2 linked regions of the Callithrix jacchus genome follow. The protein of the gene in region 1 interacts with the protein of each later gene in a biochemical or structural test. Links are inferred from orthologs where the notes say so. Each region holds a gene or a part of one and is shown in the gene's direction. Other genes may lie near its edges.

Region 1 (9,741 bases):
TATTCCTTTTTGAGTAATTTGAAAACTTGTCCAAGGTTCCGGCATGGTTACTTTTGGGGTCCTTTCCCTCTATTAAGCTATCTGCCTAGTTTTGCTGATTCCATACATTATAATTTTCTTTTTCTTTTTTTTGAAACAGAGTTTTACTCTGTCACCCAGGCTGCAGTGCAGAGGCCCTAATATGCCTCACTGCAGCCTCTGACCTCCCAGACTCAAGCAGTCCTCCCACCTTAGCCTCCCGAGTAGCTGGGACTACTGGTGCACACCACCAAACCTGGCTAATTTTTGTATTTTTTTGTAAAGATGGGGGTTTCATTCACCATGTTGCCCAGGCTACTCTCCAACGCCTGAGCTCAAGCCATCCATTTGATGCAGCATAACTTTCATGTTTGTGTTTTTGCCTAAATTTATCACATTAATTTATGGTCTGGGTCTTGTCATGCACATGCTGCAGGATAAACAGAAGGCCTTGTTCTTTGTGCTGCTTGCTGCCTTTGGTAGATACCTTTTTTTTTTTTTTAAAGATGGAATCTCAAAAAAAAAAGAAAAAAGATGGAGTCTCACTCTTTTGCCCAGGCTAGAATGCAGTGGCATGATCTCAGCTCACTGAAACCTTCATCTCCCAGATTCAAGCAATTCTCCAGCCTCAGCCTTCTGAGTAGCTGGGATTAGAGGCATACACCACTACGCCCAGCTAATTTTTATGTTTTCTTTTTTTTATTATTATTTTTTTAGTCAAGTGCAATGAGAGTGGGGGAAAGAGTAGAACAAGGAGTTCGATCTGTAACTGACTGTGAACAATCAATTGAGATAACTCACTACCTTTGGACCAGCCGTTTTTATGTTTTCTGGTAGGGTTTTGCCATGTTGGCCAGGCTGGTCTCGAACTCCTGACTTCAGGTTATCCGCCTGCCTTGGCCTCCCAGAGTGCTGGAATTACAAGTGTGAGTCAGTGCACCCGGCCCTCAGAGATATCTTATGCACAGTTAACAAGACTGTGTTTCTTTCCAGCCCTGGTCCATATGCACTTTGATCTCATACATGCTTATTTATTTGTTATTTTTTAATTTTTTCAGAGATAGAGTTTCTCTGTGTCATCCAGGCTTGAATGCATTGGTGCAGTCAGCTCATTGCAGCCTCACATTCCATGCCTCAAGCAATCTTTCCTACCTTAGCCCCCTGAGTAGTTAGGACTACAGGCAGGAGCCACCATGCCTGGTGCAGTTCTATATCACCTTAGATCATTCCTACTGAGTTGCTACTTGGCTCAATTCTAGTGAGTTGCTACTTAAGCTCAATGTTCAAAGTTCCTCTTTAATATCTGGCTTATGTTCGGTCTTCATGACATAACTTCTGAATTCATATAGCCCCTTAATAGAAGTCATCAGCTGGGAAAACAGAAAATGTTTGAATATTCAGGGTATTCTGATTTGTAGACAGCAACTAAGAGTGTCCTCATTGTTTCCCCTTGGTCTGTTCACAGAGTCATTACCAGCTCCAGCTGTGCCCTGGTGCAGACTGCCCCATGGTTATTCGGGTACAGGAGCCTAGAGCTCGCCGAGTACAGTGCAATCGGTGCAACGAGGTCTTCTGGTAAGAGTGAGTGTGAGTGCTGAGCAGCCCTGGGCTCATGCCCCATCCTCCTCCAAAGCACCACTGCTATTGTTCCCTGTGAGTGCAGCACTGGGAGAGGCAGGGTCTCTGAGCCAACAGAGCAGCTGTGCTCCAAGTGGGTAGGTTTGTGCCCATCATCTCATATTCCACTAGGTGTTCAATACATGCTCAGTCTGAAGACAAGGAAGTGACACAGGTTCTTGGAAAATGTGTTGTGGCTTATGCTACTAAGTCTCATGGCCCAGAGATTGTATGAGGATGTATCTACCTGCATAGCTAATCACATATTACTGTGTTGGAAAGGTACAGTCTTCAAAAATTTAATCTTTCTCTGTCTTGGTCTTTCTTGGCTAATTTTTATTATTTGTTATTTATTTATTTATTTTGAGATGGGATCTCACTGTGTCATTCATGCTGGAGTGCAATGGTGCAATCTCAGCTCACTGCAACCTCCACCTCCCAGGTTCAAGCAGTTCTCCTGCCTCAGCCTCCAGAGTAGCTGGGACTACAGGCAAGCACCACCACACCCAGCTAATTTTTGTATTTTTAGTAGAGACAGGGTTTCACCATGTTGGACCAGGATGGTCTCCTGACCTCATGATCTACCCGCCTCAGACTCCCAAAGTGCTGGGATTATAGGCGTGAGCCACCATGCCCAGCCTTCTTGGCTAATTTTTTATAAAACTAAGTCATAAATATATTCTACATCTACTCAGGGTTCAATTCATTCAGTACATATCATGGGAATAACTAAAGTTTACTGAAGGCTTACCAGGTGACAGGCACTATACTCTGATCACTTTTCTTGCATTATCAAAACTGTATATTACCCTTACAGTCTTTTTTTTTTTTTGAGACAGAGTCTTGTTGCTCTGTTGCCCAGGCTGGAGTGCAGTGGTGTGATCTCTGCTCACCACAGCCTCTGCCTCCCAGGTTCAAGTGATTCTCCTGCCTCAGCTTTCTGAGTAGCTGGGACTACAGGCACATGTCACCACACCTGGCTAATTTGTGTATTTTTAGTAGAGAAAGGGTTTCACTGTGTTGACCAGGCTGGTCTCGAACTCCTGACCTCATGATCTGCCTGCCTTGGGCCTCCCAAAGTGCTTGGATTACAGGCCTGAGCCACTGCGCCCAGCCATGACCCTTATATTCTATGAAGAAATCAAGGTGCAAGGTAAACCTAGTAAATGGTGGAGCCATAATTTAGGCCCAGATCTGTCCTAATCACACCTACCTGGAGTATTCATGATGGGGCTTCAGAGAAACTGCATGGAAGATGTAATGTGTGTGTGCACATACCTGTGTTTCAAGACGTTGACACCAAAGGTTAAGAATCACTAATGTGGGATTTTTTTCATTTTAAATTAGGCAGCCCCCAGGATTACAGCAGATTCAGAGAGACTCCTTGTAGTTGTTCTTTATCCTTCTGTCCCACTTTATGAACTCCTTTCCCTGGGTACTGCCTGAGGGCCTTTTCTAGCTGCAAAGTACTATTGGTGTGCACAAAACAAAAATTTAAAATATGGAAGCCTAGCTCGACATATTGGAGTGTCTTTCTTTTCTGTTTTAAATTTCAGGGTCATCAGATGTATCATGACCCTACAGATTTTGCAGGTTCTGGCATTTGTGCATCTTTGTGTGCACGTCTGGCTGGGAGATCAGATGAGACTCCCAGAAGTAGATCACAGTCCTGCCTTAGGTCTGAACTAAGGAATCCTTCTCAGAGTACCTCACCATGCCCTTTGAGAGTCATAGCTCTGTGTTTGACATTCTGAGGGTTGATAAACAAGATGTTTAAACAGAAATATATATATATATATATATATATATATATATATATTTTTTTTTTTTTTTTTTTTTTTTTGAGACAGTCTTGTTCTATCACTAGGTGTCAGACTGGAGTGCAGTGGTGCAATTTCGGCTCACTGCAACCCCTGTCTCCCAGGTTCAAGCAATTCTCCTGCCTCAGCCTCCCGGGTAGCTGGGCCCAGCTAATTTTTGTATTTTTTGAGAGACATGGTCTCTTCTGTGTGGCCCTGGCTAGAGTACAGTGAAGTGATGATTGCTCACTGCAGCCTCAAACCCCTGGGCTGAAGCGTGCCTTAGCCTCCCAAGTAGCTGGAACTACAGGTGTCCAGCTAATTTTTTTTAATTTGTTGTAGGAGCCAGGCGCAGTGGCTCATGCCTGTGACCCCAGCACTTTGGGAGGCCAGGGTGGGCAGATCACCTGAGGTCAGGAGTTCAAGACTAGCCGGGCCAACATGGTAAAAGCCTGTCTCTACTAAAAATTCAAAAAATAGCCAGGCTTGGTGGCAGGTGCCTGTAATCTCAGCCACTCTGGAGGCTGAGGCAGGAAAATCACTCGAACCTGGAAAGCAGAGGTTGCAGTGAGCTGAGATCATGCCATTGCACTCCAGCCTGGGTGACAAGAGCAAAACTCCGCCTCAAAAAGAAAAAATTGTAGAGACAAAGTCTCCTTATTTCCCTAGGTTGGTCTCAAACTCCTGGTCTAAATTAGTCTTCCTACCTTGGCCCCACAAAGTGCTGGGATTATAGGTGTGAACTTCTGCACCTGGTCAACAGATCTTTTTTTTGTTTTTTTTGAAACAGGGTCTCTCTCAGTTCCCACACTGGAGTGCAATGATACGAACATAGCTCACTGCATCCTTGACCTCCAGAGCTCAAGGGATCCTCCTTCCCTAAACTTTCTAGTAGCTGGTACTATAGGCACATACCACACCTGGATAATTTTTTATTTTTTTGTAAAGATGGAGTCTCATCATGTTGCCCAGGCTGGTTTCAAACTCCTGGGCTCCCAAAGTGCTAGGATTACAAGCATGAACCACTGCACTCAGCCTACAGACACATTTCATTTGTGCACGTTAGAGCATGTCTCATAAGGGCTTAAATGAAAAGACATTCGTGCAGCTATTTCAGTATAATCCTAGGTAAGTAAAGGTCCCATAGGCCTTGAGAGATAACTTTATCTATTTGAAAAGCCCTAGGCCGGCATGGTGCCTCATGCCTGCAATCCCAGCACTATGGGAGCCCAAGGCAGGTGGATCACTAACTACGTCAAGAGATCAAGACCATCCTGGCCAACATGGCGAAACTCCGTCTCTACTGAAAATACAAAAATTAGTTGAGTGTGGTGCCACGCGCCTGTAGTCCTAGCTACTTGGGAGACTGAGGCAGGAGAATCTCTTGAACCCAGGAGACGGAGGTTGCAGTGAGCTGAGATTGTGCCACTATATATGCCAGCCTGGCAGTGGAGTGAGACTGTTACAAACAAAAAAAAAAAAAAAAAAAGAAAAACTAAATTCATGATTTGTTGGTTTGGATAAAAGGAAAATTTTAAACATGGGACCCTGACTTAATAAATATTTGAATGTTTTTCTTTTCCAATTTGTAAGTTTCAAGTGTCGTCAGATGTATCATGCACCCACAGACTGCGCCACTATCCGGAAATGGCTCACGAAGTGTGCAGATGACTCTGAAACAGCCAACTACATTAGTGCTCACACTAAAGACGTAAGGACCCTATTTTACCTCTCATGGATCTACCCTCTTTAGTGGTGCCCAGGGCCTTGCCTTGGAGATTTGCCATCTGAGAGCAGAATACTCAGAGCCCCAGGGTGCATTCTGAGGACTGGGGGTTGGGGACCCTCACGCAGACTTGGCACCTTTTAGCAGTTTATCATCAGATGCATTGGGTGCATTTTTAAAAATTATGAAATGCCAAAATTCCAGGAAAGTTTGACCCAAAGGGGGAACTAATTAGAAGAGAGCTAATTATGATTGAATGCCTACCAGCCTTTAACAGCCTTGGGAAGGAGGTGGTTAATAGCTACACCTGGTGCATAGTAAGGCTTTAATGCAAACCTAGACCTGCACAATACTCATTTTGAAGTTTTCCGTGGGAAAATATGGCCTGTGGGCTCTAGAGGCCGCCGTACCCTTTGTCAGTCACTCACAAGCACGGCTGTGATAATGACATCATTAAACATAGTCTACTTCACAGCAGTGCCAGATCACAGAATCAGATTGGTCTCTGCATTGCTGCCTCAGGTTGCTGGCATCTATCAAATGAGAGAGAGGAGCTTTAGATGTGGATTCCTTGCCCTCTTCTTAAAGCAGAAGTCCAGGCAAGCTGACAGGGACTGAATCCATCGTGGCAGCTCCTGTGCTTCCTTGGCAGTCCTCTCAAGTAGGCAGGCTTTTTGCTGATTCAGCCTGTGCTTAATCTGAGCAGCTTCATGGTAGGGGCAGATAATGGAAGACTTAATGGGGCTCAGCTGGTGCTTGAAGTGTTTCAGAGCCAAATATACTGACCTCATTTCCTTGAATTGCTGTTCCACCCTCAGCGACCTGCCACATTTAAGTGAGATACTCCTCCCCAGAAGTGCTCACATGATGAGCGACTGGGCACAGGTGTTGGGAGCTTTGTGTAATTTGTCTTAAAACCAGCCTAGTGGTATATGAGCCTAATGGCACCCTTCTGTCTCCTCAGTGTCCCAAGTGCAACATCTGCATTGAGAAGAATGGAGGCTGCAATCATATGGTAAGCAGAAGCCTGTACACTTTGCATGTGTGACATGGAGCCTTTGGTCATTGTGCCCTTAACATGTTCTCTTCTGTTTTCCTCTGACAGCAATGCTCCAAATGTAAACACGGTGAGTTCCAAGCTTGGTATGTAAGGCCCAGTGGCATTTTCTTGTGCTTGGGTCTTCGTTACTATTTAAGTGAGTACTTCTGCCATGAAATGACAAAACAAAGAAGAGCCTCATTCACTTACAGTCACAATAACTGGCATAAAGTAGCTTATTTTATTTTTTGGTCCCTCTTATAACCCCACTACTATCTTGCTAACACATATAGTCAGAAGTCAAGTTTGGGATAATCCTCATGATCCTCAGTCATCCAAGAAGATGATTTCAGGGTGTTGCTTTCATTCTTTGCCAAGGCTGGTAAGTAGCTTGGGGCTTATCTGTGCTACCTTAGAGATACCTTTACCAGAGGCAGTAAAATAATGCTTTTCTCTTGCTGTTTTACAAAGTTTATAGAGGGGGTTTTGATTTAGCATTTCAGACCTCCTTTATCGATCAGGAGTAGTTTACATAGCTAGAACCAATTGGTTTTGCATGGCTTCCTGCCAGGTCAACTGAAGAAACAGAATCCCTTCAAGTAGAAAATATGTCGAAGTAGGTCTCCTACACAGACAGCTGCTTTGATGCTTATCAGGAGCCCCCGAGAGTTTCTACTTTTTTTTTTTTTTTTTTTTTTTTTTGAGACAGAATCTCTGTTGCCCAGATGGGAGTGTAGTGGTACGATCTCTGTCTCCTGGGTTCAAGTGATTCTCTTGCCTCAGCCTCTTGAGTAGCTGGGATTACAGGCATATGCCACCATGCCCAGCTAATTTTTGTATTTTTAGTAGACATGGGTTTTGCCACGGTGGCCAGTCCTGACCTCAGGTGATGCACTTGCCTTGGCCTCCCAAAGTGCTGAGATTATAGGAGTAAGCCATTGTGCCTGGCTGAGAGTTTTTGTTTGTAAGGGCCTGTGTGAATGCTATTCCCAGGAACCCTCTTTTCTTTTTTCTTTTTCTATTTCTTTTTTTTTTTTTTTTTGAGATGGAGTTTCACTCTTGTCACCCAGGCTGGAATGCAATGGCACGATCTTAGCTCACTGCAACCTCCACCTCCTGGGTTCAAGCAATTCTCCTGCCTCAGCCTCCCTCCCGAGTAGCTGGGAATACAGGCACGCACCACCATGCCCAGCTAATTTTTGTATTTTTAGTAGAGACGGGGTTTCACCTTGTTGACCAGGATGGTCTCGATCTCATGATCTTGTGATCCACCTGCCTCAGCCTCCCAAAGTGCTGGGATTATAGGTGTGAGCCACTGTGCCCAGCCTTCTTTTTTTCTTTTGAGACAGAGTCTCGCTCTGTCACTCCCAGGCTGGAGTGCAGTGGAGTAATCTTGGCTCACTGCAATCTCTGCCTCCCAGGTTTAAGCAGTTTTCCCACCTCAGCCTTCTGAGTAGCTGGGATTGCAGGTGCCCACCAAGCCTGGCTAGTTTTTTGTATTTTTAGTAGAGAGAGGGTTTCACCATGTTGGCCAGGCTGGTCTCAAACTCCTTACCTCAGGTGATCCGTCTGCCTCGGCCTCCCAGAGTGCTGGGATTAAAGGCGTGAGCCACCGTGCCTGGCCTTTTTTTTCTTTTTTTAAAGATGGAGTTTTGCTGTTGTCACCCAGGCTGGTGTGCAGTGGTGTGAACCCATCTCCCGGGTTCAAGCGATTCTCCCTCAGCCTCCCCAGTAGCTGTGATTATAGGCGCCACCACCACGCCTGGCTGATGGGGTTTCACCATGTTGGCCAGGCTGGTCTCAAACTCATGGCCTCAGGTGATCTGCCTGCCTTGGATTCCCAAAGTGCTAGATTACAGGCATGTGCCACCACGCCCAGCCCGAAGACCCCTCTTAATCAGAGTGGTCATGGCAGGGTCTTAACAACATTGACTCTGCAGTGCCAAACGAAGATAGGCCATAGGTAGTGGCATATTTCTTCTGTGGGTCCACACTCTTTCTTTCTCTTTTTCTATGTATATATCAGAGAGGGAAGTGTATCATAGACTTAGAACAATGCAAAAGACACATACAGCTTAAAGAATAATGACAAACACCCCAGCACCCACTACATTTTTAGTGCCTAAGAAGTCCCCGGGTGTCAGTATCCCTTGACACCCAGAGTTAACTGCCATTTCATGAGAATCTTGAACCCAGGAGGCAGAGGTCACAGTGAGCTGAGATCGTGCCACTGTACTGGCTAATTTTTTTAAGTAGAGATGGGGGTTGCACCATGTTGGCTGGACTGGTCTTGAACTCCTGACCTCAGGTAATCCACCCGCCTTAGCTTCCCAGAGTGCTGGGATTACAGGTGTGAGCTACTGCGCTCAGCCAAAACAGAATAATTCTGAGTATGAACCATTGGATTGCTCTTGGTTTTATAGAAATGTGTTCTTTGGGAGGCAGAAATGGGCAGATCACTGAATGTTGGGAGTTCGAGACCAGCCTGGCCAACATGGTGAAACCCCATCTCTACTAAAAATACAAAAATTAGCCAGACGTGTTGGCGGGCACCTGTAATCCCAGCTACTCTGGAGGCTGAGGCAGGAGAATCACTTGAACCTGGGAGGAGGTTGCAGTGAGCTGAGATCGCACTACTGCACTTCAGCCTAGGGGACAGAGTAAGACTCTGTCTCAAAAAGAATAGGAATTGTGTTCTTTAAAACAGAAAAAAAGGGAAAAAGCCTTTATTATTAGCTTTCGATACAGAAATCTTTCTAGGACTACAGAAATCTTTCTAGGACGAATGTGATGGTAGGAAGCAGTCGGGAGGTCAGTTTTTACTGATGATGTGTTTAGACAGGTAGTCCTCAATTGGATGAGTTCCTGCTTCTCATTGTGGCATTGACATAGCAGACCAGTAGTCTATGGTCAGCATCTGCCTGTGTTAGATTAATAAGGCACATGGCACATGTGCTGATGGAATAGAAATTATCCATAAGCTGCCATGTGGAGTGGCTCTCAAAGCCTGTAATCTTAGCACTTTGAGAGGTCTAGGTGGGCAGATCATGAGGTCAGGAGTTTGAGACCAGCCTGGCCAACATGGTGAGACCCTGTCTCTACTAAAAATACAAAAATTAGCTGAGCATGGTGGCATGTGCCTATAATCCCAGCTACTTGGAGAATTGCTTGAACCAAGGTGTAAGAGGTTGCAGTGAGCTGAGATTGCACCATCACACTCTAGCCTAGCAACAGAGCAAGACTCCATCTCAAAAAGAAAAAAAGAAATTATCCATAGGCTATTGTTCATATCAGCAAGTATAGGCTATAAGGACAGTAGGATATGACAGGGATGAGAGGTGCACATTCCTTCTGGAAAGAGGCACCCTTGCGAAGTTCTTTTCAGGTGACCACTTTGGAGCTGGGTCTGTCTGTCTCACTCTGCCTTTGGAGGAAAGTGGAGTTGTCTTGTGGATGTAAAAGACTTTTCTCTGTTCTGTACAGACTTCTGCTGGATGTGTCTAGGAGATTGGAAGACTCATGGCAGTGAATACTATGAGTGC
Region 2 (10,514 bases), on another chromosome or scaffold:
GGGGGACAGGGTACGCCAGAGGGGTCAGGGCTCCCCAGAAAGGGCCGTCAACGCCAACACCGCCCAGCCGGTGCAGAAGCAGCGAGGGGGCAGGCCGGGCCGGCGGGGGCCGCCCATGCGAGGCTAGAGAAACAGGTTCTGCGTGCCGCGCCGGCCCGGACCACCCTTACCCTCGCCCTGCCATCCTGGGCCCCGCAGAGTCTCACCCGCGACTCTCCCTCCACCGGGGCTCCACACATGCCTCCGCGACACGCGGCGGCGGCCACAACACTTCAGGCTCCGCGCCCGCTGATGACGTCGCGCCCGCCCCGCCCCCTCCGCGCACGGGATCCTGGGAGTGCCAGGCTGCCCTTCCCGTCCCTCCCAGAGGACGTTTCCTGGGCGACTTCTGACTTTATGTGAGCTGCTCTGTTTACACTTGCTGGTTACTGGAAGATCGGAAGACGGGACAAAATCCAGAAGGCAAGCGGGCGGCCAGCGTGGTGACTGTCGCCTGTGAGCCCGCGCTTTGGGAGGCTGAAGCAGGAGGTTCTCCTGAGGTCAGGAGTTCGAGACCAGCCCGGGAAACGTAGTGAGACCCGCCCCCCATCTGTACAAATAGTAACAAACAAACAAAAGGGCGCCCTGCCCCGCCGGCCGCGGGTGGCCGTCATACCCAGCCACATTTGAAGGGGGTCAGGACCCAAGGCGTGGCTGTCACTGCTGTCCAGGACCCCTTTGACAGGCCCTGGGGTCCTCTATGAGGACACTTTGCACAGACATTTTCTCATTGCAGACTGCTCTGGGAACACCCGACTGAGCCCCAAGATGAGTTCCTGAAAAGAAATCGCAGGTCAAAGGGCCATCCCAAAAGGCTTGGGTTAGGGTCAGCCAGAGGCGCAGAGATAGGGGCCTGGAAGAATCTGCAGAAGTGGCCTTCCGCCCAGGCCCTGCCTCCACCGAAGGGGGCACGTTCTGAGTGCAGAGCTGCTTCTAGGAGGGAGAGGGGGTCCTGCGTCCCCTTCTGGGAACCAAGGCTCAGTGAGAGCTGGATGACTTGGGCCCACTCTTGGGTCTGGTGAGGAGCCGAGCAGGAGACGGAGGAGGAGCTGCTGGAGGACAGGCAAAAAAGAGAAGCGGGAGTGCTGTTCTGTCTCCACAGCGCTCTTCTCAGCTGGCTCCTCTGTGGAGTGCCTGTGCAGGAGAGCGGGGCAGGGGATGTGCGTTTTCTTCCTCCAGCCCCTAGCTGTCAGGGCCAGGTCTTGGAGAGTAACAGAGACCCCCCTCCCCCCCCACCCAGCCTAGGGTTTATCCTGCACCAGAACCCAAGCCAGTTAGCAATGACCTTAGGCCACCCTCCCCAGGCACTCTGCCACTCCAGCCTGGTAAAATGAGGTAGCCATGCTCCTCCAGAGCCAGCTCTGCTCTAGGACCTTGGCAGCCAGTGGGCACTCTCAACTCTCGCCTCTGGGGCAGGCCAGGCCAGGGGATCTGTGGCCCTTGCCATGGGCTTTTCAGGGTCCATCATAGAAACCCAGGGGTCCAACCTCAGCCCCTCTGTCCCTGCCCTAGCTGGGCCAGGAGCTGAGAGCCCCCAGGAGTAAGATGGTGAGAGGCCTTCCATAGCCTCCCTCTCTATGGGCTCCTATCCCTGTGGGGCCACCACGCTGGCCACCAGATGCTTCTACATCTGCTTCATGGCCTCCCTGCCTTCTGCTCTCAATGTTGAGACAACCCAGTCCCATCCATGGCTCCCCAACCTCTGTTCCAGCAGATGCTTCTCTCCCTAGATGATGCACCTGCCTGAGTTACCCCCTAATTGCTTCCCTGGGGGATTCTGACTTTGTTTCTCTTGGGCTTCTCTTCCCCAGCCTCTCAGCTGTGGTGTAAAGTCGGCTGCCTGCATGGACCTGAGTTACGATTTGGTGACTTGGCGGTGGTTTCCCTTGGTTCCAACTTCCCACTTGCTTCTCTGTCCATTACTGGCTGGCCAACTCCTCTAGTGCCCCCTCCTCCAGGCAGCCTTCTCAGCCCAGCCCATCTGCTCCATCTGAGCTGCCCCAGTCCCCAGCCTGAGTCCTCAAGCAGAACCAGCACCCCTACCTCAGCTGATGATCCCCTGCACAGTCTGTACTATGGCTCCCCACAAGGGCTGATGCCGTATATGCCCAGCTGGGTCATCTCACTGAATTCTCCCCTGGATCCTATGAGGGAGGGAATAGTTTATAGATGGAGAAACAGAAACTCAGAGAGGTTCAGTAACTTGCCGAAGGTCACAGCCAGTGAGGTCAAAGTGGGATTAGGATTTCACCTTGTTGACCAAGATGGTCTCGATCTCTTGACCTCGTGATCCACCCGCCTCGGCCTCCCAAAGTGCTGGGATTATAGGCGTGAGCCACCGCACCCGGCCCAAGACCCCATCTCTTAATTCATTAAGAATTAAAGCCAGTAAACTGGCTTCAGAGAACCAATGGTGGATCTGAAGAAAGGTGGGAACAGGCAGGAAGGATGCTCACGGGGGAGGCTGCTCTGTCCACGCCCCTGGCAGGGACCACGTCACTGCGGTCCCTGCCTCTATGACCAGCCCAGTCTCCTGCCCTACTATGCTCTGTGACCCTGTCAGCCCCTGCCCCTCTCCTGACCTCAGCCCACTTCCTCTTCGGGTTCTGCAGAACTCAGGGGCAGGGCACTGAAGGAGGCGATGCTGCCTCTGCTGTGCCCTGGGAGCAGACTCCAAGGATGGCCCCCCGAGCTGCGTCATGTTCTGTGAATAAAAGGCCTGGGCCTCCTTTGAAGCCCCCTCTAGGCCCAGTGGTTCATGTGTAACCAGGTGTGATTTCTGAGGAACGTGGGCCAAACACTGGCCTGGCAACATCACCAGCCTTCAGCTCCTTGGGCCCTCGGGAAGGCAGGGTTCTGCAGACGGGGCAGGTGAGCTGGGGGAAGGCCGGCACCTTCCAGACCCTCCCCTTGTGCCCCTGCTCTGCGGGCCTCTAAGGCTCCCAATCAGCTCCTGCCTGGGGGGTCTCAACCCTGATACTTGGGTCTCACCTGCTGCTGCTGCCCCATCACAGCTGCCTGGCCTCTGCCCCGTCGGTCGGCCCCAGGCAGCTGGCACAGGGCTGGCACTCTTCGAGGGTGGAGGGGTTGCTGGGCCTATAACTGGACACTTCTGTCACCCAACTTCTGATATGTCTGCACACTGAGTCCAGCTGGGCAACACAGCGCGACCCCTGTCTCAACAGAATAAAAGCAAAAATAAAATGATCTTCTGTCTGCACACTGGGGACAAAAACACCCACCTCAGAAGGCTGAGGGTTGCCAGCAGCCCCAGGCCGGACCCACCCCACTGCCCAGCTCACTGCTTGCCACGGGCAGTCCTGCTCTCCAGACCTCAGCTCTAGTTCTGACCTTGCCTGTGGAGGGAAGGGGAAAGGGGGTCCTTTCCCATGGGGACCTGGGGAAGCAGGTTAGGCTCTCCGCCAGGAGGGTGAGAGAAGGGAGGGGTGGCCTGAGAAGCTGCAGATGCTGAAGACAGAGGAAATCCTGAGTGTCCCCTCAAGTCCCTCCCTCCCCCAAGTCAGCCTCCAGGGGCTGCAGCTATCCCTTCTAGAAACAGAAACTTAAGCCCTTCTGGCTTTGTGGGGTTGGGGGTGGGCAGCTGCAGAAATGTCTAAAATTGGGGAAAGAGGCTGCAGGGGGCACAGAGAGCAGGAATTCCAGGCTTAAGGGACACCTGCTGTCTGGCCAGCCCAGAGGGGCCATTTGCCTTTTTACATGGGTTTGTTTGATTAGTCTAAAAAAGGCCGGCTTGGAACAAGACAAAGCATGCCAAGCAGGGAAGAGGCATGTGTCTCCTCTTCAGTGACCACAGGGATGGGGTAGGGCCCCACAGCCAAGCAGGGAAGAGGTGTGTCCTCTGCAGTGACCATGGGGATGAGGCAGGGCCACACGCTGATGCTTCCCCTGCCTTTGCGCCTTGGCTCTGGTGCCTTCTCTTCAGAGGCACCTATTCAGGGTCTCTTATGCCTGGAACTGCTGTGCCCTGTGTCCCCCCCAACCCCAGCAGCACTGATCTCCTAATGTCATCTGGTTTGCCGGGCTGCTGGCTCATGGCCAGTCTTCCTCCAGCAGCAGGCACTGTGCACCTTGCTGCCTGCTGTATCCCCAGCAGCTGGCACTGGGCAGGTGCTCACTGTGCCATTGCTGGAGGAGTTTTTGTCAAATATACCCAAAGATAAAGGTTCCCCACTTCCTGGCTTTAGTCACAGAGCAACATATGAGGGTCGTGGATAGATATTAACTCCACATGCTCCACCTCCCCTCTTACCAGCTGCATAATACTCCACAGCAGGCAGATGCCTTCCCACTCTGGGCCAGTCCAGCCTGATGGGCATCGGCAGGTATCCAGAGGTGTGTGTTTTTCCCTTCACACATCTCCTGGTCCATTAGTGGAGAGAACTGAGACATCCCTCCTAAGGGCTGCATTCCTAGAAGTGGGATTGCTGGGTCACAGAGTTTGAACATTTTTTAATGTTAATAGATTCTGCCAAATTACCTTGCGAAAAGCATGCAGCAATTCAAGTTGCAGGCAGCATGTGGACGCCTGTCTCCCTGCATTCCAGCTCATAGCCAGCACTGGCTGGGGTCGATCTGGGAGTGTTGAGGGTAGAGACAGGTGGAGTCACTGTTTAATTTGCATGATTCTGGTTATCTGTGAGACGAGTTTTTTTTTTCTTTTTTAATCGTACCTATGCTTATTGTTTATTAGCATTTCCTCCATCCTTGCCTGAAGTCTCTGGAGACCGCCTTTGGGGGTCGGGAGAACTTGTCCCCTGCGAAGAGGGCCTGGGGTTGGTGTCTGGAAACTCCGAGGCTGCACTTGCCGGCGGTCTCTTAAGGCCACAGTGTCCCAGTGATTTCTGCCCCGCATCCCCCGGAGCCCCAGGACTTGTCCAAGGTCAGGGCACCGCGGTGCCCCCGGGCTGGGCCGCAGCCAGACTACACCTCCCGCGTGCCTTCGCTTTGCACCAAGATCGCCCAGGAAATGCCTGCGGGCACCTTGAGGAAGGTCAGCGGCTCCAGGCCAGCTCGAACGTGGGGTGCGGTCAGTACCTGCTGCAAAAGCCCTTAACGCTTCCGCCTGGCCCCTCACCGCCGCCGCCGCCGCGGGGGCTGGCTGGACGAGGCGGGCAGGCGCGAGGATGCGGACGAATCCGAGCGTCCTCGAGTGCCCGGAGATTCTCCGGCCTCAGTTTCCCGGTCGGAGGCAGGGCGCGCGAGGGGATACAAATAGCTAAGGACCTGAGGTTTCGGTTTCGAGGTCTTGGGCCGGCGCTGGGCAGGCTGCGCGGGGTCCCGGCGAAGGGACGGCTCGGGTGGGCGGCCGGGGGGTGTTGGGGGCTGCGGGCGGCGGACAAAGCGGCGGCACCACCCCGCGGCGCGGGCCAATGGAATGAATGGGCTATAAATAGCCGCCAATGGGCGGCCCGCGTTGCACCCCTTAAGAGCCTCGGGAGAGCGTAGCGGCCGCTGTTCGCCTGCGCCGCGCCCGGAGCTGCTGGCCGACGGAGCGACCCCGCCCCCGCCCCCGCACGGACGCCCGGTGAGTGGGCCGGAGGGCCGGGGGCCGGGGCGTCCGTGCCGGGGCGAGGGGCGCTGAGGCGTCACGCGCTCGGAGCGCGCGCCCGATCGGCCGGGGGTCCCCGGCAACGGTGGCGCTCCCCGCGCGCGCTGTGGACCCCGCTAACCTTGGCCGCGTCCTGGGGGCGCCGGGGGAGCCGGCGGCGGGGCCCTGAGTGGTTCACGGGAGCCCGGGAAACCCTGCGCGCCCGTCCCCGCTGACCCCGCGTCTCCCCGCAGCCCGCAGCCGCCATGCCGTTCTCCAACAGCCACAACACGCTGAAGCTGCGCTTCCCGGCCGAGGACGAATTCCCCGACCTGAGCAGCCACAACAACCACATGGCCAAGGTGCTGACCCCCGAGCTGTACGCGGAGCTGCGCGCCAAGAGCACGCCGAGCGGCTTCACGCTGGACGACGTCATCCAGACGGGCGTGGACAACCCGGGTACGCGCCCCCTCGGGGCCGGGGTCCCGGCGCCCCCTCCCCGCGCGCGGCCGCAGGGTCCTCAGCAGCGCGCTAGGGCCCGGCCGTGACGTCACTGTCCCCGTCCCGCGCCCCCTCCCCCAGGCCACCCATACATCATGACCGTGGGCTGCGTGGCGGGCGACGAGGAATCCTACGAAGTGTTCAAGGATCTGTTCGACCCCATCATCGAGGACCGGCATGGCGGCTACAAGCCCAGCGATGAGCACAAGACTGACCTCAACCCCGACAACCTGCAGGTGCGGAGCGGCCAGCGGGCGCTCGGGCGGGGCGAGCCGCGTTTCCGGGGTCTCCCGGCGCTCACTCCCGTCTGGCCCTCAGGGCGGCGACGACCTGGACCCCAACTACGTGCTGAGCTCCCGGGTGCGCACGGGCCGCAGCATCCGCGGCTTCTGCCTCCCCCCGCACTGCAGCCGCGGGGAGCGCCGCGCCATCGAGAAGCTCGCGGTGGAAGGTAGGGGCCGGGCGGGCCGAGGGTCGGCGGCAACCGCGTCCCCGTCCCGGCGCGGTCCCCGCCCGCTTGTTTATCAGCCGCCCGGGAGCGGTCGCCGCCGCCACGCTTTTATCTGCGCGCGCCCGGGTTCAGTTTCCCCGAGGGACCGAGGTGCCGGCGGCCCAGCCCCGCGTCCACAGCGGCCTGGGGCCCGGGGAGGGAGCGTTCTGGCGCGGGGTCACAGCCTCGGACCGTCGCCCGGCTCGTGAGGAGTGGACGCGCGCAAACCCGGGCGGGTGGGGGCCTCTGACGTCCCCTGGTGCGGGCGGGTCCGCGATGAGGGTTGCGGGGCGGGCGCGGGGTCCGAGCGTCCTGAGCGCGCCCCCCGCAGCCCTGTCCAGCCTGGACGGCGACCTGGCTGGCCGATACTACGCGCTCAAGAGCATGACGGAGGCGGAGCAGCAGCAGCTCATCGACGACCACTTCCTCTTTGACAAGCCCGTGTCTCCTCTGCTCCTGGCCTCGGGCATGGCCCGCGACTGGCCGGACGCCCGCGGCATCTGGTGCGTATCCCTTTGCGCCCTCCTGCGGCGTCCTCCCTCCTTGCCGCCTCCCCTTTCCCTCTCGCCCCGCTCGCTCGCAGCGAGGAGGAGGGAGGGGCCGCGCTCCGAGTCTGGGTTCGTTGCCGCCCCGCCCTCCGCATAGGTGACCTTGGCCGCAGGTGCGTTAAGGGACTGGGCCGGTGGGGACTCCTCCCTCCATGCCAGGAGGGGGGGGCGAGGCTCGCTGGCGCCTTTCCCCCACGCCCCTCGGGAGCTGGAGCTCCTTGTTTTCTCTTCTTTCTCTCTTCCGCTGCTGGGATTCTACCAGGAGCTGGTGACGCAGAAGCTTCTCCAGGGGCAGGGCTCCTACCCCCACTGGGGGTGGTGGTGGGCAGGGTTGTCCTGGCGGTCCCTGGCCCCGCTCCATCTCAGACCACAGCACATGATGGTAGCGGGGGTTCTCCTGCTCTCTGAGGCTTTCCGTTCCCCGCCTGCCCCGTGTTGGCGGTGGAGTCTTGGCAACAGCCGCTACTCCTGGGCACGGCTGAGAGCAGCACCTTGGGGCCTTGGGAAGTTCCTGTGGTCTGGACGGCCTGGGGCTTTTTTCTGGATATGCCCTGAGATCAGCCCTCCCACAGGCACAATGACAATAAAACCTTCCTGGTGTGGGTCAACGAGGAGGACCACCTTCGGGTCATCTCCATGCAGAAGGGGGGCAACATGAAGGAAGTGTTCACCCGCTTCTGCACCGGCCTCACTCAGGTGCCAGGGATGGGGCAGGTCCAGATCCCAGGGCTCAGGCAGGGACGTGGGTACCCCATCGGTCCCCCTGGGGGATTTCCGGGACTTGGGGCCTGTGGTCGTCTCAGGCAGGCCTTCCCACTCACACCCTCTTCTGTCTGCAGATTGAAACTCTTTTCAAGTCTAAGAACTATGAGTTCATGTGGAACCCTCACCTGGGCTACATCCTCACCTGCCCATCCAACCTGGGCACAGGGCTGCGGGCAGGTGTGCATATCAAGCTGCCCCACCTGGGCAAGCACGAGAAATTCTCGGAGGTGCTTAAGCGGCTTCGACTTCAGAAGCGAGGCACAGGTGAGCAGGGCAGGTGCTGTGGGCTTCCTGCTGGCCCTTGGGCAGTTGTTCCCTCCCCCTGACCTGCTGTCTCCCCAGGCGGTGTGGACACAGCTGCGGTGGGCGGGGTCTTCGACGTCTCCAACGCGGACCGCCTGGGCTTCTCGGAGGTGGAGCTGGTGCAGATGGTGGTGGACGGAGTGAAGCTGCTCATCGAGATGGAGCAGCGGCTGGAACAGGGCCAGGCCATCGACGACCTCATGCCTGCCCAGAAGTGAAGCCCGGCCCACACCCAACACCAGCCTGCTGCTTCCTAACTTATTGCTGGGCAGTGCCCACCATGCACCCTGATGCTCGCCGCCTGGCGAGCCCTTAGCCCTGCTGTAGAGACTTCGTCACCCTTGGTAGAGTTTATTTTTTTGATGGCTAAGAAACTGCTGATGCTGAAATAAACTAGGGTTTTGGCCTGCCTGTGCGTGAGTGGTGCCTCTCCTTTCCCAGGGGGCAGCAGCCAGGCCCCAGAAGTGAGTCCTGGGCCTGCTGTGGGCCTCGCCTTCTGTGAGATGGGACAGCAGCCAGCAGGTGGCCACTGTGTTCTGCCTGCCCCACCTAGTCCATGGGCCCCTTCCCTCCTGTCTCCCAGGAACACTGAGGGCAGTGAGGGAGGAGCTCTGAGCATCTGAGGGCATTCAGGCCTGGGGTGTGGAGCCTGGCACGTTCCTCAGGCCTTACAAAAAACACCCCATTCCTTGGCTCATGGCCCCCATCCTGCAGGGTTGGGGGGGGTAGGTAGGGATAGTGGGGGTGACGGGTTGAGCCCAGAAACTAGAGCTTTCCCATTCCTGCAACCAGGTTCCTCCTCCAGTCTTCCAAGCAGCAACATCATCAGATCCAGGCATCTCCCTGCCTCCCTCCTATCTCCCCAACACATACTCTCTAGCTTCCCCCTGCTTCCTTCCCTCCCAGCCTCTGCCTCCAGGCAGAGCTCCCCAGCCCCACTGGTCCCCCCTTCACTGCCAGCCTCCTCTTCAGGGGCCTCTGGGTGTCCAGCCCTTTGGTCTCAAGGTGGGACCACAAGGTAGGGACCCTGGGGCAGAAGGGGGTTGGGCTGTCTAGAGCTTCGTCTCCCTGGTCCCGATGCAATCCCCTCCCACTACAGTTGCCAGTTGCTGCTGTCCCTGCCCAGCCTCTGGCTCAGAGTTCCTACCATGGTTGGGCACCCTGAGGGGCTCAGCCAGCTCAGGGAATGGAGGCGGACAGGTGAGCCAGCCAGGGCCTAGGAATCCTGCATCCCATCTTCCAGCTCCTAAGCTCCAAGGATGCAGCCTGTGCTGCCACCTGCTGGCCACGGCCGCCTCCACCCCACCCCTGGGGATCAGGGTCTGGGGCAGGCCTCATTCCCTATCTCTACGCCCACTGCATCCCTGGACTATAAGTGTGGATCACTGGGCTCTCACCTCCTTGGGACATGAAGGGCTTGTCAACCTAGACACTGGGGCTCAGGAGCAGCAGTGGCGTGCATCCTTGAATCGGCCACAATGGCCATCTGGGGTGTCTAGAGGGCCCTCCAGGCTGGGAAGGCTCCAAGGAGGCATTAGCAGGAAAGCAGCTGGGCTGGGCGCCCGGGGGGCCCTAAGAGCAGGGTTGACTTAGAGTGTAGGCTAGGCACATGGGGGGCAGCCGGTCCTCTCACGCAGAAGGCTGGGGGCACTTCTGCATCCATCTTTTGGGCCCTGGACTGGGCCCTCCCTGGCTGACCAGGGGCCAGTTTCTGGCTTAGCCTTTAGCTAGGAAGGCCTAAGCCAGGCCAGGCTGGGGTCGTATAGTCTGGAGTCTCGGGAGAAGGGCTGGGATGAGAAGCCCAAGGTGAGTACAGGAAGCAAGCCCCCCCGGAAAGGGGAGGTTGAGGGCAGTGAGGAAGGGACACAGACCCAGTGGGGACCTGGCCACTAAAGCCCTCCTGTCTTGCTGTGTCACCAGCTGAGGCTCCCTGTGAGCAGCTTGGTGTGGGGCACTATCAGAATGTGGCATGAGCCTGGCCAGGGACATGGCACCCCTCAGTGAGGCAGGGGTCTCTAGGCCTGCCTGTGCTCCACCCCCAGGGGACCCCGTCAGTGCTGCCCTCCCTCCTGCTCAACAGCTGCTGCAGCTGCAAGCCCTCCTGCTGGCCCAGTCCCCCTCACCGTGGCGTGAGCAGAGCCAGCCTTCCAGCCTGACCATCGCTGGGGTGGTGTGGCCCCAACTCCAAGGTGAACACAGGGCTGAGGGCATGGCTGCGCAGGCCTGTCACTTGTGTTTCAACATTCCCATTTTCCTGTGCAGACCCTAGAGTGGGGCACTCCTAGAACCACCAGTGGGCAAACAAATGGAACTGCTAATC

The links. The genes of interacting proteins can lie anywhere in the genome.
Region 2: of the proteins of ARIH2 (region 1) and CKB, one has a biochemical effect on the other in vitro, tested with the Homo sapiens proteins (2 studies listed by BioGRID). The link is inferred for Callithrix jacchus from reciprocal best matches to the Homo sapiens genes ARIH2 and CKB.

The regions. Positions count from the first base shown.
Region 1 is NC_133516.1:31,590,856-31,600,596, forward strand, and holds part of ARIH2 (E3 ubiquitin-protein ligase ARIH2), read left to right. Parts: intron 1-1,483; coding exon 1,484-1,593; intron 1,594-5,027; coding exon 5,028-5,145; intron 5,146-6,124; coding exon 6,125-6,175; intron 6,176-6,265; coding exon 6,266-6,287; intron 6,288-9,682; coding exon 9,683-9,741.
Region 2 is NC_133509.1:138,349,845-138,360,358, reverse strand, and holds CKB (creatine kinase B-type), read left to right. Parts: upstream 1-5,510; 5' UTR 5,511-5,584; intron 5,585-5,841; 5' UTR 5,842-5,853; coding exon 5,854-6,046; intron 6,047-6,169; coding exon 6,170-6,324; intron 6,325-6,406; coding exon 6,407-6,539; intron 6,540-6,909; coding exon 6,910-7,081; intron 7,082-7,698; coding exon 7,699-7,822; intron 7,823-7,965; coding exon 7,966-8,155; intron 8,156-8,233; coding exon 8,234-8,412; 3' UTR 8,413-8,605; downstream 8,606-10,514. UniProt on the Homo sapiens protein: Reversibly catalyzes the transfer of phosphate between ATP and various phosphogens (e.g. creatine phosphate).